7 linked regions of the Rattus norvegicus genome follow. The protein of the gene in region 3 interacts with the protein of the main gene of each other region in a biochemical or structural test. Links are inferred from orthologs where the notes say so. Each region holds a gene or a part of one and is shown on either strand. Other genes may lie near its edges. The genes, in order: Nr0b2, Tada3, Rara, Ncoa6, Nrip1, Psmc5 and Trim24.

Region 1 (4,294 bases), on a different chromosome or scaffold from region 3:
GGCATGGAGGCCTGGCACATCTGTGGCAGAGAGGGTAAAGAGGGCCGGTGAGCATCTAAGTCTGTGGAGGTTTGCCCAGGGTGGGAGAATGTTAGCAGTTCCCTTCCCTCGTATGCTGGGGTGCAACTCAGGGCCTTGCGAATGCTAGTGTGCACTAGGCAGACATTCCACCATTGGGCTGCATGTTGATAGCCCCTTTAACATACTAGGGAAGTGGGCTGGAGAGATAGCTCAGTGGTTAAGAGCACCGACTGTTCTTCCAAAGGTCCTGAGTTCAAATCCCAGCAACCACATGGTGGCTCACGACCATCTGTAATGAGATCTGATGCCCTCTTCTGGTGTGTCTGAAGACAGTGACAATGTATATAAAAAACATACTAGGGAAGTACATCCTCAGCTCGTAAAGCCAGGAAGTTAGAGGACGGTTTTGTGGCGGGCGCTGGGAATAAAATCCAGGTCTGTGAGGCAATCTCTTCACTGATGAGTCCATGCCTTGGTCCCCTCTGCCACCTCGGAGGCCCCACCCACTGTCTCCTTCACTATTTACCACTTATCCATCCATCCACTATGGAGAGCAAGCAGATAATGTGGATGTAATGACGAAGACACACGGGCTGGAGAGATGGCTCAGTGGTTAACAGCACTGACTGCTCTTCCAGAGGTCCTGAGTTCAGTTCCTAGCATCCATGTTGTGCTTTACAAGTCCCTAGAACTCTAGTTTCAGAGGATCTGACGCCCTCTTCTGACATCTTTGTGACATCTCCTTGACAGGTGATGTGTACATATGCACACGCATGTAGGAGCTCATAAAGTAATGTATAAATAAATCTTTTTATTTTTACTTTTCATTTGATTTTTTTTAAAGACAGGGCATCTCTGTGTAGCCCTGGCTGTCCTGGAACTAGTTCTCTGACTGGGCTTGAACTCAGAGATCCCAGTGCCTTCCAATGCTGGAATTAAATGCTACCACCACCTGGCTAAATAAATCTTTTTTTTAAGATTTATTTATTTTATGTATACGATTACACTGTAGCTTTTCTCAGACACAAGAAGAGGGCATCAGATCCCATTACAGATGGTTGTGAGCCACCATGTGGTTGCTGGGATTTGAACTCAGGAGCTCTGGAAGAGCAGTCAGTGCTCTTAACTGCTGAGCCATCTCTCCAGTCCCTAAATAAATCTTAAAACCAAAAACCAAACCACCCCAAAACAAAAACAAAAAAAACCCAAAAACCTAACAAACAGAAAACAAAAACAAAAACAAACCCACCAAAAAACCAGGGTTTGAATCTCAGTGCAGCCACTTACTGGCTGAGTGACCTTGAGTAAGTAATTTAATCTTTCTGAGTGACCTTCCTTAAATGAGTACTTTAATCTTTGTGCTTCAACTTCTTCATCTGTCAAGTGGGGATAATGACAGTTCTGGTCACCCACACCTGTTATGAGGTTTAAGCAAACCAATATTTGTAAAGCCCTTAGACTGAGTCCTAACATATGGTAGATGTCATGGGACTAGTTGGGACGCCTACTCCTATGACGTGACATCGTACTTTAATTTCAAGGTCCGTCTCTTGTCTTCCTCAAAGCCACGAGGATTATTCTCCCAAGCTAGGCCATCTTGGTCTACGCAGTGAGTTCTAGACCAGCCAGAGTGACATGGTGAGACTGTGTCCCAGTTCTCCCTGTCACCCCATCACTCTTCTCCTGGCTTGACTTCACCCCACTCCCATACTCTCTCTCTCTTCTTCTCTGAGTGGCCTCCCTGAACCCACGGTGGACCTTCAGAACCTCACTATGCAGCCTGGCTTTGAAGATATATCTGCCAAGCAGCCATGTCCCCACCCCATCTACCCTCCCACACTCCCTAAGATGCAGGCCAAATTTCAGGAACCATGGCAAAAAGTAGTCTCTGCATTAGCTTGGTCTGCAGTCCCAGCTGTGTGACCTTCAGGTAGTGGCTTAACCTCTCTGTGCCTCTCCTATGAGGTATCTATTTTTTTTTTTTTTCTTTTCTATTTTTCGGAGCTGGGGACCGAACCCAGGGCCTTGCGCCTGATAGGCAAGCGCTCTACCACTGAGCTAAATCCCCAACCCGAGGTATCTATTTTTGAGGCTAAAAAGGACCCAAAGGTACAATGGATGCCAAGTCCCAAGAAAGCACTTTCCCTGGATGAGCCCTGTCCCCTCCCACCTTGGCCACCATCCAGGAGTGTCTGGAAGCTCACCTGGGTTGAAGAGGATAGTGCCTTTCAGGTATGCGTACTCCTTGGGACCCAGCTCAAGGCTCCAGAAAGACTCCAGGCAGTGCTGCAGCCACTGCACGGCAGCCAGTGAGGGTTGTGGTGGGTCTGGTGGCTGGGCACCCTGGGCACCACTGTTGGGTTCCTCTAGCAAGATCTTTTTAAGTATGCTGGGGACCGGAGCCTCGGCCACCTCAAAGGTCACAGTATCCTGGGCCAACCCAAGCAGGAAGAGAGGGCCCCAGCAGCCCTCTAGCAGCCGTCGCTGATCCTCATGGGGCAGGAGGCAGAAGGACGGCAGGTTCCTGAGGAAGGCTACAGTCTTGCCTAGGACATCCAAGGCCTCCCTGCAGGTGCGGTGTGGAGCACACAGGCGCACAGGCCGGTGTTGCTGGCACAGGCAGTGGCTGCGAGATGCGGGTGCCATGGGCCTGGTCCTGGGACCGGGGCTTAGAAGTGTGTAGAGAATGGTGGGGTGGCTTGCAGAGCCCTGGCATGGGCAGACCCCTGATTGGCTGGAGCTCATGGTCTGTGTCTTGTTCCTGTTTCTTCCTGGCTCTGTGGCCCTCTCTACGGAGTGCTATTTATATCCTTGATGGGCGGGAGGGGGACTGGCCAAACAACCTTGACTCCAGAAGTCATGTTCATTGAAAAAAAAAAAAAAAACCATACACACACACACAATGCATACACGCTGACCCTGGCAGGACTGGTGGAGAAGTGGTGGGGGAGGGGCACTGGAAGCTCCACGTGGCCTTGCTATCGCTTTAGTCAATGAAGTGGCCATTGCAGGGCACAGGGCCACCTGCCCACTGCCTGGATGCCCTTTATCGGATGACTCAAGTGTATAAACAGGGTTATTAACCCAGGCTGTACCAGGGCACCAAGGTCTCAGGCGTTCAACCAGCCAGGGGCTGGCCGTGACTGTTGTTTCTATTGGTGGCCGTTTTCATGTACACAAGACCAGGGTTCTCACAGAGCCAAGGAGCCAGCCAGGGAGCTGGCTAAAGCCTTGAATACAATACCCAGCCTGGAAGTGGCTTATCGCTGCTTTGTTTGCCTAACCTTGGGGCTCTGCTCCTGTTGTCGGTAAGGAACAGGCTGTAGGGAAGGGAGCCAGGTCCCTGGGGGACTTTGTTCACTGTACAGTCTAGGAGGCTGCCCTCCTGGGACTCCAGGACATGAACCCCTTTGGGAAGAAGACCTTTCAGAGCCCCTGCTCCCACCCTGCATTCCCATAGCTTCACAGAGGCTGGATCTGCCCTTGCAAAACCGAGGGCCTACATGGCTAACATTTAGTAAGGACCCCCCCAACCCCCCCACCCCCACACACTTGGTGTGGGTCTCGGTCCACTGTAACACTGAAGACTTCATTCTTACTCTGTGACACTCTGGAGGTGAAGTGACCTACTCAAAGTCACTCCGACGGGGACAGAGCACAGGTGCATCTGACCTCAAAGTCATCTTTGTTTGTTCCCCTGGATCAATTGTGCAGCCGAAGTGTGAATTTCCCAGAACTGGTGGCTAAGAGGCACCCCCCACCACATACTTGGTCTGCAGGTATGGCCTACCTGTGGTATGGGTAGAAACACATCTCTGCTAGCACATGACTCCTCTGTCTTGGACATTTGTCTCAAGCGGTCAGAGGTGAGGGACAAGGGACATGGGAGGGCCTCAGTTGTGTCGGGTTCCTGACCTTGGCTAGCCTTGCCTAGCAGGCTCCCTGTTGCCACATTCTTAGGCAACCTGGTGCTGTGGATAAAGAGAGATCTGGCATCCTCTGCCCTGGCATCTGGTTTAGGCTCCACGAGTCCCACTCACAGTGTGACTATCAGCTTGTCTCCAGTGTTCAGGGAGCCCCCCCCCCCATTTTATGTTTTTTCTAGACAGGGTTTCTCTGTGTAGCTCTGGCTGTCCTAAGAAATTGCTCTGTAGATCAGGTTGGTCTCAAATTTACAGAAATCCACCTGCCTCTGCCTCCCTAGTACTTAGGTTAAAGGCCCATGCCTCCCCCCAACCCCCAGCTGAGCCTTGGTATCTTAGGTGAGACCATA
Region 2 (3,957 bases), on a different chromosome or scaffold from region 3:
CGTTAAGGTCAACACGGTACTGAACACCCAGGAAGGAGTCTGCATGGAGGCGACACAGAACCTTCACTGGGGGCTGAAAGGCAAGGCTTCCAGGAAGGCCGAGAAGGTAATAAGGTGAAGTGGACACTTGCTTTGAGGTACCATGAGACAGGCGGGGACAGGGGGCTGTACTTAGCGAATCTCTACCGTGGAGGGAGAGGAGGTCCCGTTGCATTCCTCAGCGGTCCTACTACCTCAACTGCAAGCCACCACCACAGGCCTAGCAGTCCCGTCTCCTGCCTCCTCCAAACTTCGGAGAGAGGCCATTCTTGCCCGGGATTCCCAACCTGGAAGCCTCTGGGCCTGCTCTGCCCTGGGAGAGCCTCCCAGCTCGCCCCTTCCTCCTCGCCTCGGTCCTCGCCCCACCCTTTGCCTCTCCATCCTCACTGTGCCCCCTCATCCCAGGGCAACCTCCAGTCGCAAGCCCTAGCAGCAAGCAGCATCTTCCCCAGACCCACAGCCTCTCCAGGCAAAACACAGGGAGGCCCCCAGCCCCTGGTCTCTCACCATCGCGGGCGCTGTCTGGGCCGGAAAGCGGAAGTGCGGAAGTGCCCGGCCCCGGGACGCCTGCCCTTTCCAGAGAGGCGCAGCCGCAGTCCCCGACAGCACTTCCGGGCTGGACCATCTCGGGCAGGACCAGGGAAGAAGAGCCGAAGGATGTTCAGATCTCTGAGGCGATTTCACGCTGGGACCGCTGGGACTTGTAGAAGATCTGCAGTGACATAACAGCAGTCGAGGCCCCTTGGGTCCCCACACGTATCCCTCCAGCGCCTTTAGCGCTTGGCGCTTTGGTTGTAGCCTCCCCCCGTGTGACAATAGTATGGCCCGACCTCAGGTTGGGCACCAAATTAGGACAGGCCGAACCGGAGAAGCCCGACGTTTCTTCCGGTGGTGCTCCCCTATCCTCTCCGGGCTCCTCCCATTAGCAACCCTAGGGTTCGGCCGGGTAGCCAGTCCCTTGAGATTTGAGCTCAGAGCCCCGCCCCAGCCCCGGGCTGCTTCCTAGCCCCGGTCTCCTCAGGCCTAGCATTCCACTTCCCGGAGATTCGTAGGTGGCCTTAGACCCCCCCCAGCCCCCACCCCTACAGGTCACTGTGGGCTGGCCGTGTCCCCGCCCTCGCGTCAACTGCAGGGGGCCCGCCCATAGCCAGTTCCGGAGCAGTTGCTCCGATCGCCCTGGACTCCCCGCCCCCTCCTGCGGCCCGGGGCCTGTAGGAGGCCGCAGAGAGGAGGTAGGAGAGGCGGGGGTTGTGTTAGGGGCTCCCTAGAGGACAAGGACCCTGGAGGCGGGATCTTGGGGCGACACACAGGTGGAGCCAGCCATTAAGCAGTCCCACTTCTGTGCCAGGCACTGAGCTGGGCACTTGACGAGCATCACTTCTTAATCCTCAGAACATTCCAGGGAGGTAGGTACTCTCGATGCCCCCATTTTACAGATTCCTACTTTTTAATGGGGAAATAGACTGAGGCATCATCTTTTGTCCTGGAAAAAAAAACAAACCCAAAAACCAAAACGGAGATTCAGGTTAAATAACATGTTTAGAAAGGCACATAAGAAAATGGCTGGAACTTAGTTCTGTCTGCCTAACCAGCCTGTGTTCCAAACTAGTTAGAGACATAGAGAAGGTGCAAAGGTGGAATGGAGTGAGGCAAGGAGAGGCCGGGAGAACCCCGTTAGATAGAAATGGCCCAGTATAGGAAACAGAGGACATAGGAAGGCAGAGCACACTAGTATCCCCTCTCCCTTAATGCTGCAGATTCGAGACTACAGTGGTTCAAATTGCAACTAGGAGGCCGGCCTAATCATGCAGGTTTGTACACCTAGAGACTTGGGAGGCTGAAGCAGGTGGATCATAAGTTCAAGACCTGCCTGTACAACTTATTGAGAGCCTGTCTCAATAAGAATTCATGAAAGGGGTGCTGGATGTAACTCAGTTTGGAGAATTTGTACCTAGCATGAACAAGCACTGTATAAATCAGGTGTGGTACATGCCTAGAATTCCATCTCTTGGGAGTTGGAAATAAATCCTTGGCTACACAGCTAGTTTGAGACCAACCTGGGTGCATACCTTTATCCCAGCACTCTGGCACAAGAGGCAGGTGCTTTCTGGGTGGGGGGTGGGGGAAGCTTTATGAATTTGAGACCATCCTGATCTATATAGCCAATGAGTACCAGTCCACTCAAGGCTACATGGTGAGATTTTTGTCTTCCCAAAATATAGGAGTGGGGTGGGGTCTGGAGATGTGTGAGACCCTGGCTTCATTGCTACCAAAAAAGGAAAAGACAGTAAATTGTAGCTAGGAGTCTAGGCATGGGTACATGTTTCTTATATTTTTGGTTGTGAGCCTAGCCTTTAACGGCTGAGCCATCTCTCCAGCCCGGGTACATGTTTCTTTGGAGTCTTTTTCCTTTCTTGGTCAAAAGAAAGAAAGAGACCAGGCGGTGGTGGCACACACCTTTAATCCCAGTACTCTGGAGGTAGAAGCCAGGTGGATCTCTGAGTTCAAGGCCAACCTGGTCTACAGAGTGTGTTCCAGGCCAGCCAGAGTTGTTACACAGAGAAACTCTGTCTATAAATAAATAAATAAATAAATAAATAAATAAATAAATAAATAGCATGGGAAAAGACCCCTGCTTAAGGTTATATGCATAATTCAGGCATAATCCAGTGAAGTAAGTCTGGCTTGGTGTACTGTCAGGCTCTGAACAGGAGCTTTGCCACCGTCCTTATCTATGAGGGTGCTAAAGCCTGGTGTCTTTGTTGAATCTCTCCCCATGCTACTTTGTCTCCTACCCAATGGCCTCCTCCTCCTCTAATTTTCCAGGGTCCCATCTCCTGGGCCATGAGTGAACTGAAGGACTGCCCATTGCAGTTTCATGACTTCAAATCTGTGGACCACATGAAGGTCTGTCCCCGGTACACAGCAGTGCTGGCCCGCTCCGAGGACGATGGCATTGGCATCGAGGAGCTGGACACCCTGCAGCTGGAGCTTGAGACCCTGCTGTCCTCTGCAAGCAGGCGACTGCGTGTACTGGAAGCTGAAACGCAGGTGATTCTCCAACAGGGGCATCACTAGAGACACAGCATGTCGAGTTGAGGATGGATCACCAGGTTCACATCTACTGAAGCTGAGGGATGGATGGGAAGAGAGACCCACATGGGGATCATGACAGAATAGTTAGCTCTCAGTGCAGATACCAGCAGCCAAGGATGCCATCCAACTGTACTTCAGAAGATGGACACTGCCCACTTGTGGTCCTTGACGTTCCCTGGGAGGTTTCTGAGATGCACCTTGATACAGTTAGTTGCATAGACAGGGCTCCCGGGTAGGTTGGGGTTTGAAATGAAGGTTAGCTTGTTCACCATCACCAAAATACCAGCCATCGAATATTCCCCAGGACCACCATGCCCTGGGGAATAACCTTATTTTTATTTTTATTTTGTTAATCTTCCTGCCAAACCATCTGTGACTAGCTTGGGTGGTGGAGGTGAATCAGAATGTAGACCTACAATTAAATTCATGTGAGAAAGAACAATCCCAGGGAAGAGCAGGGGATTTTGAAATATGAGTAGTTTGCCTACTAACCTCAAATTCTAGATCTCAGCTACCCACAGCAGGGAAAGAAGTGCCCAGTGTCTTCTCTCCTTCTCAGGCACTGTTGTTGTGTGTTCCAGATCCTTACTGACTGGCAGGATAAGAAAGGTGACAGGCGAATTCTGAAGCTTGCTCGAGACCATGAGCTTGGTGCCCCTCCAAAACATGGGAAGCCCAAGAAGCAGAAACTGGAAGGGAAGACAGGACATGGGCCAGGCCCTGGCCCAGGACGACCCAAATCCAAAAATGTTCAACCCAAGATCCAAGAATATGAATTTACTGATGACCCAATCGATGTGCCTCGGATCCCCAAGAACGATG
Region 3 (4,134 bases):
CCTCCCTATTGCCCTTCCTCCTCGTGGGGCGATGGTGAGGGTGACTCTGGGTGCAGTATAGCCCAGCAAAGCTCAGCGCAAGGTCCAAACCTAGCGGTCGGCGGGTGATAAGCATCTCTCCCATTCCCCCACCCCACTACAGGCATCCACGTGCTTCACATTCTTGGATGTCTGGGAGCAGGCAGAGGCGTGAGCTGTGGAGACTGGTGGGGGACAGATGGGGGCCACATCCTGTGCACCCCTTGTCCTCTAGTGCACTGAAATGGGGGCTGTGGGAGGAAAGCAAAGTCTCCAGGGCTCTGCAATACCCAGCAGGTCTCCACCTACAACCAACCTGCTATCTTCCCTCCGTTGGTGGAGACCAGGGAGTTGTATTCTTCAAGACAACTAGAGGTGACTCAAGGCACCAGATAGTCTCCACACAGCAAAAGACTCTTCTCCAAGGAGGAAATACAAGGCTAGTAGAGGTCCAGTAGCCACCCTGACTTGAGGCCCTTAGTGTGTCCCAGGGCAAGCAACTCCACAAGGGTGAAGGCTGGTGAACAGACTTCTAGCTAGGTTATCCCAGACAGGTCTCTACTTCCCCATGTCCAAGCGGTTGAAGGGAGGGAGCAGGGAGGCTTCTGCGTGGGCTGTCTCCCAAGTTCTCTGCAAGCCTCCTCCCTTCAAGTTCTGTGCCAAGAGCTCAGCTGTCCTAGAGGGCTTGGGCTCAGAGATAGGAGCTGGACCTCAGGGAGCTTAAATCCTAGCTTCACCCAGTGCAGAGAAGGAAGCCTGGAGGCTCACCCTAGGGGTGGCTCCTTCCTACAGCGCTAGGATAATAAGAAGGGTCAAGGAGCCACTTCTCACCTCTGCTTTTTCCCCCCAAAGCCAATGATCACCCACCCCTCCTAGTCTGAAACCTCACAGCTGATTCTGCCTTGGAAGGCAAAGGTCAGGGGGCAGGACAATAGGTCAGGGCGCAGGACAATAGGAAAGGCCTGATAGAGGTGTCTCTGGAAGGGCAGTGGTCAGCTGTCATTCACCCCAGGTCTCTCAATGATGAAGGAAGGTTTGTGTGCGGGCAGATTCTACTCCAGCCTTCTTCAATAGGCTACGCCAGTGGTTCTCAACCCTCCTAACACTGTGACCCTTTAAATATGGTTCCTCATGCCGTGGTGGCCCCCCCATCATAAAATTAGTTTCACAGATACTTTGTAATTGTAACTTTGCTATCGTTATGATTCATAATGTGAGCATCTTTTGTGCAAAATATCTGGTGTGACCCCTGTGGAAAGGGTTGACACCCCCCACCACACACACACCAGGGGTCGACACTCAGGTTGAGAACTGCTGTACCGGACCATAAGAGACCCAGTCTTCTGTTGCTCCCTGGCACGCAGAAGGGTGGCAGCAGGTATGGGAAGGTGGGGGCCCTCCTGGGAAGAAATCACTCCCATAACAGAGTGGGAGACGAAATCTGAGCCACCTAACAATAATACCCTAGAACCAGCTCTCTGACATGGAAATCACACTAATACACACTGCCTCGCGGCTGGGCATAAACATGCCCAGGTGTGCACCCTGGGTGTTAACAGAAGCCTCCCTCACAGCACAGCCGGCTAGAACCAGGCTGGAGGGCTCGGCGGCCAGGACAACAGGGTTCACATCGGTTCTCCCTCTTTAACAGCACAAGGTCTGGACTTATTTCCCTAGACAGGGTAACAAAAAGACCCAGGAGCAGCAGAGATACACCCTGATTGCCAGAGGACCCCCAGGCCTTAAAAAACAAATACGCCCTAGAGAACAGCAATTTTGAGTTTTTACACCAGCTTCTCCCATGTTCCCAGCATCAAAGTCTCCAGGATGTTAGGCAGGTGTCTGGGGCCAGACCTTTCCCCAAGACGGACTAGGTGCCTCTGAAAGTATAAGGGGGTGGACGGGCAGGCAACTGTCCTGTGAAGTCCCGTTCTGCCACACCCCATTACCAACCCAAAGACAGAGACCAGTCCGTGTCACCCCCACAGTCGGCGGGAGCTGGAGGTAGTAGCTGTCACACAGGGGAAAGCTCATCCTAGATTTTGACAGGGGTGGGATTCGGGGAGGTGGCCCCTCCCCTTCGGAACAGACAAGCCCACAGTCAGGATCTTTACCCCACCCTCCAGCAGGCTGTGGATCCTAACCAAGAAGATGTAAATGGGGCGCCAGAGGCTGAGATTTCACGTCTCCTGGAGAAGGAACGCTCAAAGTTACTGAGCCCTAACATGGCAGTGCGCCAGGGTCACTGGGTGGAGGGCAACTGTCCAGCTAGGACATCCGAGTTACAGCGAGACAGACAGAGAAAGTGAGGTGTAGAGAGGTTCCTACCGCCACCCCCACCCCAGCTTCTAAGGTAGCAAAGCGGGGGCCGGTACGTACAGTGGTTTGAGCCATTCCAAAGCGGAGTCCGGAGTGGGGTGGAGTAGGGACCCGGGGCAGGGAGCCCCTTCTCCTGGAGCAAACAGGCCCGGTTCTGGTTATAAAAGTCCACCACTAGGAAGGGGTTAGGGGCGGGGGCAAGCCCCCCGACTTCTACACTTTCGTACATCTTGCCCCGCGAAGGCCGAAGATCCAGGAGGGGGAAGTCCTGCACCGGGGCTCTCGTCACTCAGCCGGCGGCGCCATCCGTGCAAGTCGGCTAGAGGGGCAAAGGGACAAGTCCCTTCGCCCCGATGGGCGGCCCCTCAGCGGGGCGCCCAGCCCAGAATTGCCCGCGCCTAAGTCCGCAGGTCACTCCGCCGGTCCCAGGTGAAAAGCGGGAAGTTGTGCAGGTTGGAGGAAGAGGTCTCTCGGTGCTCGCTCGCAGGGAACGCTCGGTGGCTCGAGAACTCGAGGCTTCGGTGTCCCAGGCAGAGTCCAGCGGCTCCCCAAGTTCGCTGGCCCGGGGCGGGATCAGGGCGGAGACGGGGGTCACCGAGCACTTCCTTTTGCCGGCCGGGGCTCCCGGGCTTCTCCGTGGCTTAGATTCCGGGTGCGGGTGGGGGAACCCCCGTACGGCCCCGCCTCCGCCAGGCCGGCGGCGGGCCGCTTGCTTGGTCTCCGGTGTGCGCGCCACCACCCCCCAAGCCCGCGCGCCCCCTCTCTGGGATTCCAGCCCCTAGCCTCCGCCCCGCCCCGGCCAGGCGCCGCCCCTGGCTTAACCCTTTCCTTGCGGGTCCCACTGCAGAGGGAGAGATGCAGGGATGCAAGGGCCTAAAGGCTGCACGTGGACCACGAGTTGTGGCAGCCTCGGAGAGGGAGCAGAGGCGGGAAAAGCGCTGTGCATAGAACCAGGTCGGGTATGGATAGCAGGGTGCACCGGGAGGCAGGACCGACGAGGAGAGAGCATCCTCCCCATCCCAGTTCTGGCACCCGGCCTCCCTAGTGCTTTTGGTCAATCCCCTGCTGGGCGAAGCAGCGGCGGGGAGGTGGGGTGGTCCTGGGGTCCTCCCCGTAAACACGCCCCCCACCCCCAGCCCCAGCTTCATTTGCCTAATGCAATGCGACTGAACTCTTGCTGAACTCGCCTGACGGCGCCTCACCTCCGGGTGACCCACCCACTGCTGCCCGTGACATCACCAGCTCGCCAACCCGCCCTCCGGGCTCGCCCACTGGCCCCCTTCTCGGTCCTGTCCAGCCCCAAAGTCCGAACAGGCGGGCAGTAAGCATAGGGCCCAGAGGCAGGTGGCCCAGCGTTAGAACCACAAACGCAGCGTGCTGGGTGTCCCGGGTGTGACATTGTGCAGCCTGGGTGCTGTGTCGGAATGAGACCTCTAGCTTGTGTCACTGTCTGTGACATCATGTGAGACTCCGGCTGCCGGCTCACTCGCCCGAAAACGACGCGGCAGAACTGAGCTGTTAGCACAAACACTAGCGGGGAGCTCTCCTCCCACACTCTGCGTGCTTCCGGCAAGCAAAGCTCCGCCCAGGGTGTCTCCCAGCCCGGGAACGAGGATGGGCCAGCCCAGGACAGATAAAAGGAGACTTCCAGCTGAACCACTTCCTCCCTAGGACAACTGTTTCAGTGGAAGAAAGGCCTGGGTTAGGTAGGTCCCTGGAAAGAAGAGATACCCAGAAAAGATCAGGGTGTCCTATTATATGTCCTCTTAAAAGCCTGATCTACATGTTAACCTTCTA
Region 4 (3,500 bases), on a different chromosome or scaffold from region 3:
TGAGCTGTCTCTCTAGTTATGAAAATTTAAATCTTACTTGGCCTAATGGAAAACAGTTGCTGAGCCAGGCAAGATAGCTCAGACCTTTAATCCCTGCACTCGGGAGGCAGAGCTGGTGGATCTCTGTGAGTTCAAGGCCATTCTGACCTATAGAGCAAATTCCAGGACAGCTGAGACTGTGGCACAGAGAAACCCTATCCCAAAAAACAGAACAAAACAAAACAAAAAAAAACAAAAAAACAAAAAAGAAAGGAATAAAAAAAAGAAGAAGAAGAAAAACAGCTGCCAAAATAAGTGCTTCTTGCCCTTAGTCCACAATTTTGACTGCTATAGTACCTTCCACAGAAGACACTTAACACCTTGGGGAGAGCTAAGATAGCTGTCCCATCACTTGGGAGTTGGAAGGATTATATGCCCCAACTCCGTTCATATCTTAGCATCTTGGTTTCCAGTTTGAAGGTAAAGCAGGAAGCTATAAAGGAGGTAGGTACCTTGCTCTGTCCTGTCATGGAGCTTCCTGTGTAAAGTTTACCCAGGGGATGGGCTGGCTGGTCATAGGGAACAACGTCCTACCAATAAAGGAGGATCATCAGAGCCTGTCAAATACTCTGACTCGCTTTTTAGGAACCAAGCGTGAAAGTCCAATAAAGTATGGGTTTTGGAGATTTTACCATTGGTAAAGAACTAGCAATTTGGGGTTGGGGATTTAGCTCAGTGGTAGAGCGCTTGCCTAGCAAGCACAAGGCCCTGGGTTCGGTCCCCAGCTCCGAAAAAAAGAAAAAAAAAAAGAAAAAAAAAAAAAAAGAACTAGCAATTTATTAAGCTTGTTAAGAAATTTTGAGCAGAAGGTTTTTTCCCCCTTTTTTGAGTAGAAGGTGTCTTTATTTACTTATTTAAACAACAGGACTTACTCTGTAGTCTAGGCTGGCTTTAACTTTGTAGCGGTCCTCCTACTTCAGCCTCTGTAGTGCTGGCATTATAAGTATAAGCTACTTTACCCTGCTTCCCAAGCGCAAGAGTTTTGCAATGGCATCAAGTAATATCACTCCTTGTTTAGAAGTTCTCTATTCCAGGAGGCTAGGGAGACAGCTCAGTTGGTAAAGTGATTGCTCAGGAACTGAATTTGACTCCTAGTACCCATTTTAAAGAGCCTGGCACGGTGCAGTGGAGCATACCTGTACCCCACATAAGGCAGAGGAAGGAGGACCACTGAAGTCTAATGACTAGCAACCTGGCCTAATTGGCAGGTCCTAGATATGAGTGAAAGACTGTCTCAAAGCACAAGGTAGGGCCAGCGAGATAGCTCAGAGAGTAAAGGCATTTGCTTCCAAGCCTAATGACTGGAATTGATCCCCAGGACCCACATGGTGGACGAAGGTAATTGGCTCCCATGGGTTATCTTCTGACCTCCCACCCCACCACACACAAATAAAATATATAAAAATTATTTTTAAAAAGAAATTCTTGTATTTGCCCATAGTTGATGTACTATAAATTTGATTCATATCAATCATAGAGTTGTTCCTCTTATTAAATAATATCATGGGCTCACTTGAGTTTATAACAGCAAGGGGCATATTTTATTTATAATTATATACCAGGTGCTAAAGCAAAGTAATGCTATTATATGTCCTGGCTTTCCTGTGACAAGCTTACTAAAGAGACTATGTGGCTCAGGCAATTCAGACACACAGCAGAACAAACCCGGACATGACTCCTTTCCTATTAGGGCTTACAGTACATGGGGAAATGAACAGAACCAAATGATGGACCTCAGTAAAGGGTGAGATAAATGATCTGAGAGAAAGGGGTTTTTGTTAGAGCACAGCAACAGACTCAGCCAGAGACTTAAGGCTGAAAAGATCAACCTGGAGACTGGAAAGATAAGAGCAGTGTACCATCCCCAGGCAGTGACTGCAAATGCTCTACAAAAGGGAGGACTGTGTGATCAAAGGACCGAGGGAAAATGGAAGAGATGGAGAACAGCGAGCTGGGAGGGAAATGACTAGCATAAGGCTATATGACGAAGGGAGACTTCAGACTACGCAAGCCCTGAGAGCACAGTAGAGAATTTGGCCTATATTCTGTAAACAAGCAGTAAGCAACAGAAAGGCTCTAATCTGGATGTTATAAATATTAGAATAAGCATATTCTTACATTCAGAGGGTCAGTCCAGTGATAAACAGTTACAAAAGAACTGTTTAGGACTCCCTAATCCACTAAATGAACAAAGGAAAAATTAAAATTATTCACTAAAGGAAAGCAATTAAAATTAAACATTCTTCAAAGACAAATCAGTTCAGTGCAGGGTACAAGTAAGATCAAAGTCTAAGACTGAAGGCAGAAGAGCCAAAGGCCTGAGCGTTCAGGCTCCGGCAACACCCTCAACCCGTTTTCATTCTAAGGTACTGAAACATGAAACACAGGATGTACAGGTGCTTGAGAGTCTCAAACGTGAGCGCAGAGAGACAGACAGGGCAGCATCGGGAACTCTGCAGGGTTCTACTGTTATTGTACTTTGATTCAGATGGGCACATGGCAAAGCAAAGGACCTTCAATCTGAACGGAGAGAATCCCCAGATCCCGAAGCTGCTGGTTGTTGCTCTGAGCCAGGATCCGTAACCGCTCTGCTGCTTCCCGGGGGATGTTGAATGTGACTCGCACGCTGTTCCAGGGCTCCACTTTCTGTACCTTCAGCTTGCTGGATTCTTGGTCATGAAGGAAAGAGAATAACATGATCAGTTGTGAAAGCATTTGAGAATGAGCAACCAAAGATAAAACAAAAATCCATATCTTAAATAAGAGCAGAGTCCACTGAAGTAAGCAAACACAGGAAGGAAACATACATTCTGACAAGTCAGCTTCCTCTAGGACAGAAAAACATTTGGCATCTGCAATTCTAAAACCTATACAAACCTCTAGACATATTCTTAAGAATGCACAAAAGCTAACTTACTCTGGGCACAGTGTGTGTCCACATGCAATATCCTAATACCATGTACAAAAATTAATTAAAAATGGAACAAACACTTAAACATAGACCTAAAACACTTAGAAGAAAATATCTGACAAGCCTTGGACTTGTCAGTGATTTCTTGGATGTGGCAACAAAGGGACAGGCACATAAGAAAAAAAGTAGAGACATTAAACTTTTTTTTCCTGAGATGGTGTTTCTCTGTGTAACTCTGGCTTTCCTGGAATTCACTCTATAGATGAGGCTGGCCTCGAACTCACAGAGATCAACCTGATTCAGCCTCCTAAGTGCTGGGATTAAAGGTGTGCATCACTGCTGCCTGGCCTGAAACACTGGACTTCTTAATGATTTTGTGCATTTAAAAAAAAAAAAAACAAAAAGCAAAAACAAAAACCAGTATCAAATGGCTATATACTATATCACTAGGGTGATTATTATAAAAATAGAATATAGCAAATGTTGACAATGATATGAGGAAATTGGGGACCCTGTGCACTAATGATGAGAATATACAAATGGTACAACT
Region 5 (4,062 bases), on a different chromosome or scaffold from region 3:
TTTGTTTTTGTTTTTTTTTATGTCAAGCGAAAACAACTTCTGCAAATGATTCTTTTCATGGCAAGATGCTAGAGTCAAAAACAAACGTGACATCTGGGGTAGGGGGAGCGTTAAAAGGAGGCTTCACAAGTAACATATGAAGGGAGTAGAGAGAATAGGATTTTAAAGCAGAAAACACAAGGAGAGGAAGAGATCACGGTTTCGTCTTTTTCTCTCCTCCCTCCACTTTCTAGCCTCACCAATCTGTTAGCCCCCCTCAAATTCAGAGGCGGGTTCAGCAAGACCAGGCTGCAGGAAACCCAGGTTTCGCTGCACTGCCACCCTGGCTCCGTGATGTAATTGTTATTTATTGAGACTCTGAACCCAGCAGAGCTGCTTAAAGAAGTGCCAGCCCATCTTCTAGTCCTGTTGGGTCAGATCCTTCCTGGGGGTGGTGCAGATTGGCGGGCAGACCCTACTGGAGACTTCGCAGTGACAAAGCAGCAGAAGATAAACCAGGTTCCTGGGTCCTGCGTCCGTCTAGGGAGCTGAGCTGTGCACTCCTCAGGTCTCCTTCCCAGTTTTCCGCTTGCAATCATGCCATATTTATTACTGGGTCCTACTAGGTGCTGAGGATGGGGTCAAAATGACCTAGAGTTATAGCGCCGTGGCTTCCGGAATTTAAGCGGGACACAGATTTCAAGGAGGTGGAAAATTGAGGGTGGGTAAAGGGCTCCAAGAGAACGCGTATTTGTGGGTTGAAACGGGAGAAAGGGAGACATTTAAGGTGCCAGCCCTTAGGTGGGGAACCTGGGGTAGGGTTAAGGCGCCCCGACTCCCCTTTGGTGCCCCCAGCGTTTGCCCCCGCAAGGGTGACATGGGCTATCGCCTGGCCCCTAGCGGGGAATCTGTCCAGGCGGCTGGCTGGACGCGGCTGGGAAGCCAGGGCGCCGGCTCGGGGAGCAAAGCACCCCCCTTCTCCGGTTCAACCGCGTCCTCCCTCTGCCTTCAAGGCCGCTCAGACCCGGACCCCCACCCGGAGCACCGGCGAGAAGGCCTGCAGACGCCGGGTGGGCTCCCGGGCTCCGGCAAGCCGCCGGGTGCGCGCTCCGCCCGGGTGACAATGGGAGGGAGGGGCAGAAAAGGGTTAAGAAACTTGGCTGAAGAGCTGAATGGCGTGGAGCAGCGAGGGGAGGGACCCGGCCGCCGCGAAGTCGGCGGCGGAGGGAGGAGCGCGGCTGCGGCGGGCGGGCGGCGAGCGAGGCGCTCAAAGTCAGCCTCGCAGACATTGCAGCAGAGCCCCGAACTCGGGAGGCGACGGCGACCGCGGCGCAGGCGGAGGACGAGCCGGCCCCAGCCCGCCGGTGCGCAGCGCCCGTGGCCTCGCGCGGCCGCAGGGCACGGCTAACCTGGGAAGGAGGGAGCGACGCGGATCGGCGGCCCGGAGCCGCGGCGGCCTCGGTGAGTGGCGATCGCGGCCCGGGCTCCGTGCGGAGCTCGCTGAGCGGACGCCGAGCCGCCCGGGCACGGCCTGGGTGCGCGGCCCGTGGAGGCGGCGGAGGCCGGGGGAGGCCCGCGGGGGGCTCCAGGGACACGGATCCCGGGGACAGCGCGCCGCCGCGCCCCTCTCCGGCTCTCCCCGGGAACTCGCGGGCCCGGCCGGCGCAGCCGCCAAGTTGTGGAGTTCCCAGCCGCGGGCTCGTCCGTGCCAGCCTTGGCGCGAGGGGCGCAGCCGCCCTGGGTGTAATGCGCCGGGACCCACGCGGGTGGCCGGATCGCGGGGCCCGGGTCGAGCTCGCCCGCCCGCCCGGCTGCCCCCGTTGGCCCCGAGCCCCGGGCGCTGGCTGCAGCCCCGCTCGGTCCTGCCGCCCAGCGGTGCTCGCGGTGGCGCCCGCGCAGCTCCCCGCCTATCGCCGGTTTCTCCCTTGCGCGGTGCTCGCCGATTCCCGGCCGGGAAAAGTGACTCGGAGAAGGGACAGCGCTGAGCCCCAGGCCCGGCCTGCTGGGCACGAGCTCCCCGCCTGCCGAGGAGGGCGAGGCCCCTTGCACCCGAGGCCTCAGCCCAGTTCCCCCAGCATCCGAGAGGGGTTCACTCGGGTGAGCCTGGTGAAGTCCTGAGAGACTGCTCTTCTCTCTGGTGCCACTGTCCTCCTTACTACTATTGTTGCTAGAAGAAACCCTCTTCCGCGGAAACATTCCCCTAGACCCTCCCATCCTTCCCAAAGTAGTTTCCAAATTTTAATCAGGAGTTGATATTCAGACGGAAGGAACAAAGGAATCCACTGTGTTTAAAAGGCGGACAGGCAGTGAGTCTGACACATGTTGATCTCTGAGGCATTCCACGAGTTTCTACCTTCCATCATGTCAGAAATTTAATTGGATTCTGGCGGTCGCAAACGAAGTATGAAACGTTAGGTAATTTTACGTTAAAATACTTTACTTTTTTAAATTAATGGATCATTTTAGTTAGAGGGAAGTCCGGACATTGTTAGGTGCAAGAACTTTTAACTCTTTTTTTTTTGATGGCACCAGGCTGGAGTTTGTCTGCTCTTGTAACTGATTGTGACACTGAGCGAAAACAGTGTTTTTAGAGAAAGAGAGACAGTCTAAAAGTAAAACAAGATTGGAGTGTCTGTGTGTCTGTCTGTCTGTGTGTATGCTTAAACGATGTGTAGTCTATCTCTTGGGTTTTGTAAAGCAGGGACTTCGGTAATTCATTCTTTAGAGTTATGAATTACATTGAACCCGCTTATTAGTGAATCATGGGTTTAGCAAGTGGGCGGCATCTTCCAGATGCAATTATCCAGTGTTTAATCATCAGGTTGCCACCTTTGTCTAAGAGACGGAGTCGACTTTTTAAGCAAACGGTGGGTGCTTCACATGCATGGCCCCTAAGAGTGGCTGCAGCCTGGGAAAATGTTGAAATCTTCCCCTTCCAAGTGAGTTGCCCTGGTTTGGCCCAGCAGTTTGTCCATAGGGTTTAATTGATCCAACAGGAACTTTCTGTGTAGGACTTAGTAGAGACAAAGGAGAGTCAGTCATGCCGCAGGCAATACCTGCAAACTGGAGCCTCACCCCAGCCTGTTCTATACTGTACTGGGAAGACTCCACACTTAAAGTACAAGGAGCGAGAAGAAAATATCCTTAAAAAGTATACTTCAAAACTCTAAGGAGGGCTTCGGTTGCTGCTTATATACAGGTAGTTGAAAACCAGCTTTCATGCCTACGAGAAGACTTAGAAATCTGAGTTTCCAAACTTTGCAGAACTTGGATTTTTGTAATTGAGATACCTGAAAATAATTGTGGGTTAGCAATGGAGAAATGTTTGTGGATGAGGCCAGGGCTCCTCTGACTCCTCCAGTTTTAAGAGCAAAACGTTGTGATTAAAAAAATAACCTATACCACCACCTAGAGTCTGTTTGTTAGTTTATTGCTCTTGGAGTTTGCTTACATTGACGTGTCCCTCGTGGTTACTGTATAGTCAAAACAAGATTAAGGAATTCAGGCTTTTCAGAGGCCATCCAGGAGAACACTTATTTAAGTAATGCATAGCAAGTGCCAATTTAAATTATCCACGACACTTTCAGAACCGAAAATTATGACATATCAACTCAAGTGGGCCAGTCTCCGAAAGATACTAATTCAAAAGAAAAAAAATTTAAAGACAGCTTCTTTTAGCTTGTGCTCCAAGGTGGCCCTGAGTGCAAAAAGATTTCCTGTGATACGAGAGATTCAAGAAATGTGACAAAATAAGTGTTCTCGGTGCCTTTTGAGGTTTTTTTTTGGGGGGGGGAGGGCGACAAAAGCGATGACAAAAGTATAGAGAGAGGGATGTTGCCATTACCAACATTTTAAACACTGAGAAGGTTAGAGAGACGGTAGACCGTCTTGGAAGCTGGGATAAGGTGTTTGGGAATACAGTCAGTGAAACAGTGATAACCTGTCCTACTGGAGGTTTGTGAGTGGCAAAGCAGTCTGTTAAACAGGAGGCCTGAGGGCGGCAGCCTCTACCCTTCTGCTTATCACATTGTCCGAGGAGGAAGTAACGCTCCTCCTCTAACCGTCTAGCCTGAAAGATGGCCT
Region 6 (4,164 bases), about 7.3 Mb from region 3:
ACACAAGCTTCCAAGGAGGAACCAACTGATAGTTCTACTCAGCTGTGATGCTTATGACCCACAATTACCATGGTGGCACCCAACAGTTCTCTAACTGGACTGCAGCCTGCTTAAAGGGAGGAAAACAAAGCCCGGTACTAGACACATAGTCAACTATGCCGGGCTCGTTACGTTATGGATTGTGAAGAGCCTACAATCACTTTACTAAACCTTTTTTTCCCCATTCACAATACAGACCAGGCACGGTGGCCTAGGCTGAGGAGTACACAGGGTAGGTTTACTCTGTTTCCATACAGTCAGTGTAGGAACACAGCCTGTGGTAAGCACAAGGAGGCCCACTTTACTAAGTCTGCATAATCTGTAACTGCAGTCTATTACAGATAAATGCGGTTCTAGTCCCTTCTCTTGAAACTTCTCTTGGCAACAAATGGAGACAATTACAGACAACCACAACTGACCAAAACGTAGAAGTCAAGAGACTGCATTGCTGGTCCCAACTGACATCTACAGTGCAACTCCTAAACCCAGGGCTCAGAGGTCATTTTGGAAGAGGGGGCAGAAAGATCCTAAGAGCCAGATAAACAAGGTTTGCTGGGAGACTGTTTCTTAGAAATGTCAGAGATTGGGCTGAAGAGATGGCTCAGCGGTTAAGAGCACCGACTGCTCTTCCAGAGGTCCCGAGTTCAATTCCCAGCACCCACATGGTGGCTCACAACCATCTGTAATGGGATCTGGTGCCCTCTGCTGGTGTGTCTGAAGACAGCTACAGTGTACTCACATATATAAAATAAGTAAATCTTAAAAAAAAAAAAAAGAGTCAGAAATGCTACACTCATGAAGTCTCATCGACATGGATTCTTAAATTAGACAAGTCCTGAACACTGGTGACACCAATGGACACGCTAACATGGAAGGGAGAAGTTCACTCATGGGGCCTCAACCCCAGACAAAGAATTATGGCTCCTGAGGAAAGCTGAGAGGAAGACAAGGAAGAAGCGCCCCGTTTGGTTATGCAGTACCCAGTGAGCACATACATGCAGGTAACATTATACAGACTGAACAGGTCATGTCTGTGTATTTAGGAACACCCATAGAAGGGGTGGTTATGCAGTACCCAGTGAGCACATACATGCAGGTAACATTATACAGACTGAACAGGTCGTGTCTGTGTATTTAGGAACACCCATAGAAGGGGTGGTGGTGATAAGGATTTCAAAACATAAAATTAGAAAAAACAGTTAGTTTTAAAAGGTAGGCACGACGACACAGGCTTGTAATTTCTACCCTAAGGAGGCTGAGAGCTGGAGAATCCCAGCCCATCTGGGCTACACAATGAGAATCTATTAAATAAACAAAAGTAAGACAAAGGCAAGACAATAAAAGACAGACAACAACATCCATCCTTCCGCCTTATTTCAGACCCGAGAAAGGTGAAGCACTAAAGACCAAAGCAGAAGCATTAAAGCATGGTTAAAAGTGGTTGAGAGTCCCAGCTGCTCCGGGAGAACCTGGGCTGGATTCCCAGCACCCACACGGCAGCTCACAACCTTCCGTGACTCCGTTTCCAGGGCTCCTACACCATCTTCTGGCACAGACATAGATGCAAGCAAAACACCCAAACACAACATAAAATGAAAAGCCTGAAAAAGCGAGCGAGCGAGCAAACAGAAATCCTAACTAAATACCATTCCCATCCAAGAGATTACCAATATACGTTACACTGCTTGTTACTTCCTAACCACAGAGGAGGGGCTGGAGAGGCGGCTCACCAGTTAACAGGGTTTACTGCTTTTGCAGAGGGCCTGGGTTTAGTTGTCACTCTAAGTGCCTGGGAAAGATAACTATCTGTAACTCAAGTTTCAGGGGATCCACTGCCCTCTTCTGCCCTGCGCAGGCACCTGCATACATATGATGCATATAAGCTTACGAAAGCACACATATACACATATGCATAATAAATTAACAACTGAAGAGCTACAAGAACGACACTGGAAAAGAACACTTTGCTGCACTCCCAGTGGAAAAAGGACGTTGAGAAATCTGCACCTACCAGCTAGCTCTCAAGCTCCCTCTGGTGTCTGGACTTACCTGGAGTTCTTCAATCTTGGACAGATAATATTGACGGAGTCCACTGCCTGCCTTCCCCTCTTCCAGTTCCATCTGAAGACAAGTGTAATTGTTAAACAGTTACGTAAACTACTAAGGGATAAAGCCAAAGTATTTTCAGGGCACTTTACCATATAGCTTAAGAAACAAGGCCAGGAAAGTATCATTCCCTTTTCCTCAGAAACTGGTTATCTCCATAGGTGAGGTCTGTGTGTTTGAACTGCAAAGGCTTAGTTATTGGTTCTAATCCTTCACTTTTGAATCCACTAAAAGGATGCAATTACCGCCTACCTTCGAAGACTTTTAGGAGGCTCAAGGGGCCATATACTTACAGAGCGCTTTGCTCTGTGGCAAGAGCTATACAAACCCAAGGTGTAACTACTACAGACAAAGGCAGAACAGAAGGACCAAGTCCAGGTCCCACCCAGGCCATTCCGGCTTGCCTAGCTCTTCATTCAGTTTTTACCCAGCCCTGTCCTGCTTACCGCGGGTGGCGCTGACACAGCAGATCCAGTTCCAGGCAGGGTCAAGTCTGACGTGGTCCACCCACCCCTGATCCACTCGACCCTTTTGCTAGTGGCCACCCCTCAGTTCAGATTTTGTGCACTCCACACTCGGCTTGGATGCCGCCCTGACGCCGCGGCAGAATCCTTACCTGCTCTGGCCCATCAAGCGCCATCTTCCCTCCTTCGGCAGGGACCGCCGGCATCCAAGTCACCCTATTGCGCAGGCGCGGAGCCGAAAGCGTGCGACCTGGGTCACGACCGAGAACAGTTCCGGGTCAATGGGCGGGGTGTGTGGTGAGACAATAACAGTGGCTTTATTACAGGCTCTACTGGCGGTTAGTAGGTTTGTAAAGAGATATATAACTTATGGCGGATGCTTCCTAGAGTCTAGGGAGTAGTTATTGTACTCTACTTCCTAGCCTCTACTTTTAACTTGCAAGACACGCTGACAAAATTTTTGGCCACACTCAAAATGGCGTAAATCAAGACGCTAGGAACACAGGGAGCGCGAGCGGAAGCGGAAGTACGATCACTACCCACATGTGCTACTTCCCTAAGTGTTGAAAACCTGCGGAGTTAAGGGCTATCTAACGTCTCGGTAAGTGATTGCTTCGCCACCCGAGGAACCGAAGCAAAAATCCAGCGCTCTGAAAGATATTCTCAACTTTTTCTTTCTCCCCAGAGTGAGTGATACTACCCCATCCCGCCATGGGCAAGAAAGGCAAAGTAGGCAAGAGCCGGCGGGACAAGTTCTATCACTTGGCCAAGGAGACCGGTGAGTGGGTTTGCGCTGCGTGAATAACATATCAGCCTTTACGCTTTTTCTAATATTGTGTTCCTTTTCCTTAGGGGGAGGGTGATGGGGTTGTGAGGCTGTGGAAGTCCTCTTAGAAAAGGCATCCGTAGACGTTATTGTTTTATACATCCACTCCCTACGGTCTAGGTTATCGTTCGCGTTCTGCCTTCAAACTGATCCAGCTCAATCGCCGCTTTCAGTTCCTTCAGAAAGCCCGGGCCTTGCTGGACCTGTGTGCTGCACCTGGAGGATGGTAATATTTGGTTGGCAGGGACTGCTTGTGATGATACGTCCCTTGCACTGGCTGGCTTTGAGTTGCTTTGGGGGAGGATGGAAATCCGATTATACAATTCAGATTAAATATTCCATAGCATGTGTCTCTCCTAAATTTTGGAAGTCAGTGTCATTCTTTTTTCCCCTCTCGTGGGACTGAACCTAAGGACTTACTCATGCTAGGCAGTCGCTCCACCACCGAGTTATATCTCCAATCTGCTTTCTTTTCATTGAGACAGGGACTCTCAGAAATTGCCCAGGCTGGCCTTGAACGTTTGGCCTTGATAGCTGGTAATGCAGCCCTGTGTTGCTACGCCCAGCAGCTTGCTTCTTGAATGTGTGCATAGACAATTTGGCCAAGACACTTAACAAGTGCCCCTTAAGAGGCTGGGAAATCACATTGCCAAGGGATGAAAGGTATTTAAACCTGTCTTTTCCACAGGCTGCAGGTGGCTGCCAAGTTTATGCCTGTATCCAGTCTTA
Region 7 (3,500 bases), on a different chromosome or scaffold from region 3:
AACCTCATATCCTTGCAAAATATATATACACACATATGAATTGTACAAGAAATATAAGCATACTAAAAGCAACTTCTTTGAAGTAAAGCTAGAGAACTGAAAACATACATTTTCTTTTATTCCTACCTGAAATGCCTAAAAATAGTCACATATTATTAGGGCTGTAAGATGCTTATACTTCCCTTCCTTACTTTTCATATATGACCAAGTAATTAAGCCTTATTGAGGACAGCTTTCTCATTCACATTTGCTTCAAAGCAAACACAAAATACAGCACTGATGGATAGTTAGCTAAAAAGGCAGATGGTTAATATGTACTAAGGCAAGGGAAACAAACTGTCCCTATGAAATTATTTCAATATTTGGTGTACTTGAAAAACATGAAAACTCAGAATAAATCTAGGGGTGGGAGAACTGAAAGCTATCCCAAAGTCATTCAGCAGAGAGCTGCCCAGACTCATTTATATATGGATGACACTGTAGAGTGACATTCTGAAACACGGTGTTCTGAAAAAAATCCCACATATATATGTAACTGTAAAAAGTATACACACAGAAACATGAAGTTGGGTGTGAATGTCATCTTTAGTACCTTCACACCCAATCTTTTTTATCTTATCCCTACGTATTTTTCTTCCTCCCCTTCCGAGAGTAACGAATCACTGTTGATGAGTACCTTTCTGGGGTTGTTACCTATGCACAAGATAAAACACAGAGATGAGATCATATCTCACAAAAATTAGGTGACATGACAGTTTCTTACTAGCTAAAAAGTATTACATGAGCATGGGATAATTTGGTGAATTTATGCATTAAAACTAATTTCTGGGGCCAGTGGGATGTTCGGTACATAAAGCACTTGCTGCAAGCCTGCCAACCTGATCCCTGAACCCACACCATGGAAGCTCGGACTCCACCAGCTCTCCTCAAACCTCAGAGAGCAGCTGTGCCAAAGCACTGGCCCGTCCTACGTGTTTGACCGTGGCACTTTAAAAAGTACAGGACACCTATGAATCAACTCTACACAGAAAGTTCACAAGTCATGTTTCTCCTGGTTTATTGTTCACTTATTCATTCATGTTTACATTTTTGTCTAGAAAATATTAAAAGAAACTTCATAGTATTTACTGAAGCATGCGTACGCTATCCTGCTGTTTCCACAGAACTCTTGTTTGTCTCCCTAGCAGGAATGCTTCCATCTGCCCAAGGAATGCCACAGGCAAGATGTTTCCTATTCCCGTAGAGATGCGGCTGACCAAACAACCCTGATTTGGTCTTGAGACCTTCTGCCTTGTGAGCACATGCGATGACAGTGCTGAGGGCACGAGCGTGTTTTCCTGTCCTTGCTTCAAGTCTGTGGGCTGAGCTGCTCAAAGAAAAGTTCCAGAGCCTCGAGCCAGCAGAGAGGGGCGTGTGCAGCACAGCCTTGAGTCCCTGGTCCTATCTCTGGAGTTGAACCTTGGTTCCTTGGTACTGGTCACTGGCAGAAGGCAATGATCTAGCCATTAAAATCTAATAAATGGAGGGGTGATACTTGAAAGGTGCCAGGTGATTTTATATGCATTAGGACAACTGTCAACACAACTCTGCAAGGCACTCATATTTTTATAGCTGGAGTGAGATCTAAAAAAAATGTAGTTGGCAAGGCCATAAATTAGGAAAATAAATAGAATTTGATGCCAAGCATCAATTTAAACTTTTCTTTATAATGGTGAAGCAGAAACGAGTATGAATTTTAAAATATTACTAAATGAAACCCAGAGATGGTAAATCAATTCTTGATTACACACACACACACACACACACACACACACACACAGTAGGCAAGGCTTCCTTGATTACAAAGCACTGAGATGTTTTCTTACCTGTCGCCATAGATCTGCTTCTACATATAGTCTGTATTTTCTACTCAACAGAAAAGCAAGCACGTGCCCTTCATCACCTATTGTCTACGTAAGCTCCTATGACCTGGCAGTACAGAGATGCACTGGAGAGAAAGGTAACACACACCTGTTTTATGGCCTGTTGAGCCAAAAAAGCCATCTGCAGGGGGTTGGGCTTTATTGCCTGCCGTGGTATATTCTGGCTGGGTGGGTACCTCAGCTGCTGAGGATAAGGAGGAAGCACTGGTCCATTGGGCTTAGGGCTGTGGTTCTGAAAGTTTATTAAGCGTGGTGGTGGATGCTAGAAGAAAGAAACAAAAGCACTGCAGTAACTAACAATGGCCTCCAAACCGGATCTTTACTGCATAAAATCCCAGAGGGTAACATCTCACCACAGAATGCTCACTGTTGGCACTAGTAGTCACTTAGAAAAGGGCAAGGGGAAAGAGTGGTTGGGAAGGGAAGGAAAGGGAAGGAGGAGGAGGAGGTGTGAGCAGGAGGAAGCACGCCTGACACTGGTGGATGGGGAAGGCTGGGTGGAGAGGCAAATCTGCCACATCTCCTCTGTCAATGCTGGCTTCAAACTGAGTTTAGCAAACCCTAAGCTCACACGCCAGTGTTTTTGACCACTCAACTGTGTTCATGGTTGGGAACTTGTTGCTTCGTTGTTCAAGACACCATAACTGTGTTTAAGATCAGGACTTCCTGAAGAAGGAGGCACTTCTGTCCTCGTTCACAGAAACAACTGAATCTTTAGCGCTGTAAGGTTCATGTGGCCACACCAAGACAGCCATAGGCGTAGCTCTGCCCTCCCTCCCCCAATTCTTCCTACTTTTGGATTTTTTTTTTCTCATACTCTAAATTGCTTCCTTTCCCCTCAGTTAAGAATATATTTCAGAACCATTGAAAAACACATCTGTACAGTGTTTCTGGACCCAACAGAAATTCCAAGGTGAAGTGCAGAGACAGCATTACTGAGTAACCACATAGGGGAACTAGCCAGAAGCCCTAACACCTTTCTGATTTTCCTATAAAACTTGGCACATGAGGGCTTCACACCATGAAAACACAAACAGAAAATAGTGAGGAATTACAGAGAGGTTTTCTAAATTTATTCAAAGGAAAACACACAGTTGATTTTTAAGGGAGAACAGATATTTCCTGTCACCTTAGTCTCATCCTTTTGCTCAACATAACGATTCAACCAAAAACAAACAGGCAAAAAACCCAAAACACCAAAAAACCAAAACAAATTGACACTCGACAAACTGACACTTGACGCCAGGGCACCAGACCAAATGCTAACCCCGTCTACCTTTAAGCTTACAGGTGAGCACAACGTGAGCTATGTTCTCCCTGTTTTCTAAACTGCTACAGTTGGGTTGATCTAGGAGAATGTTCTGACAAACTCCACATTAAATACCAGGCGGCCACCTAGCACTTTAGAGTGCCGGTGACATGGTTGATCTTCAGAGGAAGAATTATGAAATATCATGCAAGAGACTTTTCACAAGCACAAACTTCCAATCTACCTGTCCACAAGGACACATGGGAAGTATGATTTGCATATCCCACATGACGAGAAACACAAAGACATACACTTTTAGAAGGCAGTGC

What was found.
Region 1: the proteins of Rara (region 3) and Nr0b2 form a complex in vitro, tested with the Homo sapiens proteins (2 studies listed by BioGRID). The link is inferred for Rattus norvegicus from reciprocal best matches to the Homo sapiens genes RARA and NR0B2.
Region 2: the proteins of Rara (region 3) and Tada3 form a complex in vitro, tested with the Homo sapiens proteins (2 studies listed by BioGRID). The link is inferred for Rattus norvegicus from reciprocal best matches to the Homo sapiens genes RARA and TADA3.
Region 4: the proteins of Rara (region 3) and Ncoa6 form a complex in vitro, tested with the Homo sapiens proteins (3 studies listed by BioGRID). The link is inferred for Rattus norvegicus from reciprocal best matches to the Homo sapiens genes RARA and NCOA6.
Region 5: the proteins of Rara (region 3) and Nrip1 form a complex in vitro, tested with the Homo sapiens proteins (4 studies listed by BioGRID). The link is inferred for Rattus norvegicus from reciprocal best matches to the Homo sapiens genes RARA and NRIP1.
Region 6: the proteins of Rara (region 3) and Psmc5 form a complex in vitro, tested with the Homo sapiens proteins (2 studies listed by BioGRID). The link is inferred for Rattus norvegicus from reciprocal best matches to the Homo sapiens genes RARA and PSMC5.
Region 7: the proteins of Rara (region 3) and Trim24 form a complex in vitro, tested with the Homo sapiens proteins (3 studies listed by BioGRID). The link is inferred for Rattus norvegicus from reciprocal best matches to the Homo sapiens genes RARA and TRIM24.

Annotation. Positions count from the first base shown.
Region 1 is NC_086023.1:151,061,666-151,065,959, reverse strand, and holds the start of Nr0b2 (nuclear receptor subfamily 0 group B member 2), read right to left. Parts: upstream 2,801-4,294; 5' UTR 2,767-2,800; coding exon 2,226-2,766; intron 21-2,225; coding exon 1-20. UniProt on the Homo sapiens protein: Transcriptional regulator that acts as a negative regulator of receptor-dependent signaling pathways. Specifically inhibits transactivation of the nuclear receptor with which it interacts.
Region 2 is NC_086022.1:148,074,521-148,078,477, reverse strand, and holds the start of Tada3 (transcriptional adapter 3), read left to right. Parts: upstream 1-1,157; 5' UTR 1,158-1,445; intron 1,446-1,796; exon of another isoform or gene 1,797-1,844; coding exon of another isoform or gene 1,845-1,850; intron 1,851-2,865; coding exon of another isoform or gene 2,866-2,883; coding exon 2,884-3,090; intron 3,091-3,716; coding exon 3,717-3,957. Other genes in the region: Arpc4 (actin-related protein 2/3 complex subunit 4), read right to left, coding at 547-549. UniProt on the Homo sapiens protein: Functions as a component of the PCAF complex. The PCAF complex is capable of efficiently acetylating histones in a nucleosomal context. The PCAF complex could be considered as the human version of the yeast SAGA complex.
Region 3 is NC_086028.1:84,410,133-84,414,266, reverse strand, and holds the start of Rara (retinoic acid receptor alpha), read right to left. Parts: upstream 2,801-4,134; 5' UTR 2,567-2,800; coding exon 2,398-2,566; intron 1-2,397. UniProt on the Homo sapiens protein: Receptor for retinoic acid. Retinoic acid receptors bind as heterodimers to their target response elements in response to their ligands, all-trans or 9-cis retinoic acid, and regulate gene expression in various biological processes.
Region 4 is NC_086021.1:164,385,276-164,388,775, forward strand, and holds part of Ncoa6 (nuclear receptor coactivator 6), read right to left. Parts: intron 2,709-3,500; coding exon 2,553-2,708; intron 1-2,552. UniProt on the Homo sapiens protein: Nuclear receptor coactivator that directly binds nuclear receptors and stimulates the transcriptional activities in a hormone-dependent fashion. Coactivates expression in an agonist- and AF2-dependent manner.
Region 5 is NC_086029.1:28,463,613-28,467,674, reverse strand, and holds the start of Nrip1 (nuclear receptor-interacting protein 1), read left to right. Parts: upstream 1-1,262; 5' UTR 1,263-1,440; intron 1,441-4,062. UniProt on the Homo sapiens protein: Modulates transcriptional activation by steroid receptors such as NR3C1, NR3C2 and ESR1. Also modulates transcriptional repression by nuclear hormone receptors.
Region 6 is NC_086028.1:91,686,189-91,690,352, reverse strand, and holds the start of Psmc5 (26S proteasome regulatory subunit 8), read right to left. Parts: upstream 2,801-4,164; 5' UTR 2,786-2,800; coding exon 2,762-2,785; intron 2,161-2,761; coding exon 2,089-2,160; intron 337-2,088; exon of another isoform or gene 211-336; intron 1-210. Other genes in the region: pre-rRNA 2'-O-ribose RNA methyltransferase FTSJ3, read left to right, coding at 3,321-3,387, 3,556-3,661, 4,124-4,164.
Region 7 is NC_086022.1:67,638,835-67,642,334, reverse strand, and holds part of Trim24 (transcription intermediary factor 1-alpha), read right to left. Parts: intron 2,185-3,500; coding exon 2,011-2,184; intron 1-2,010. UniProt on the Homo sapiens protein: Transcriptional coactivator that interacts with numerous nuclear receptors and coactivators and modulates the transcription of target genes.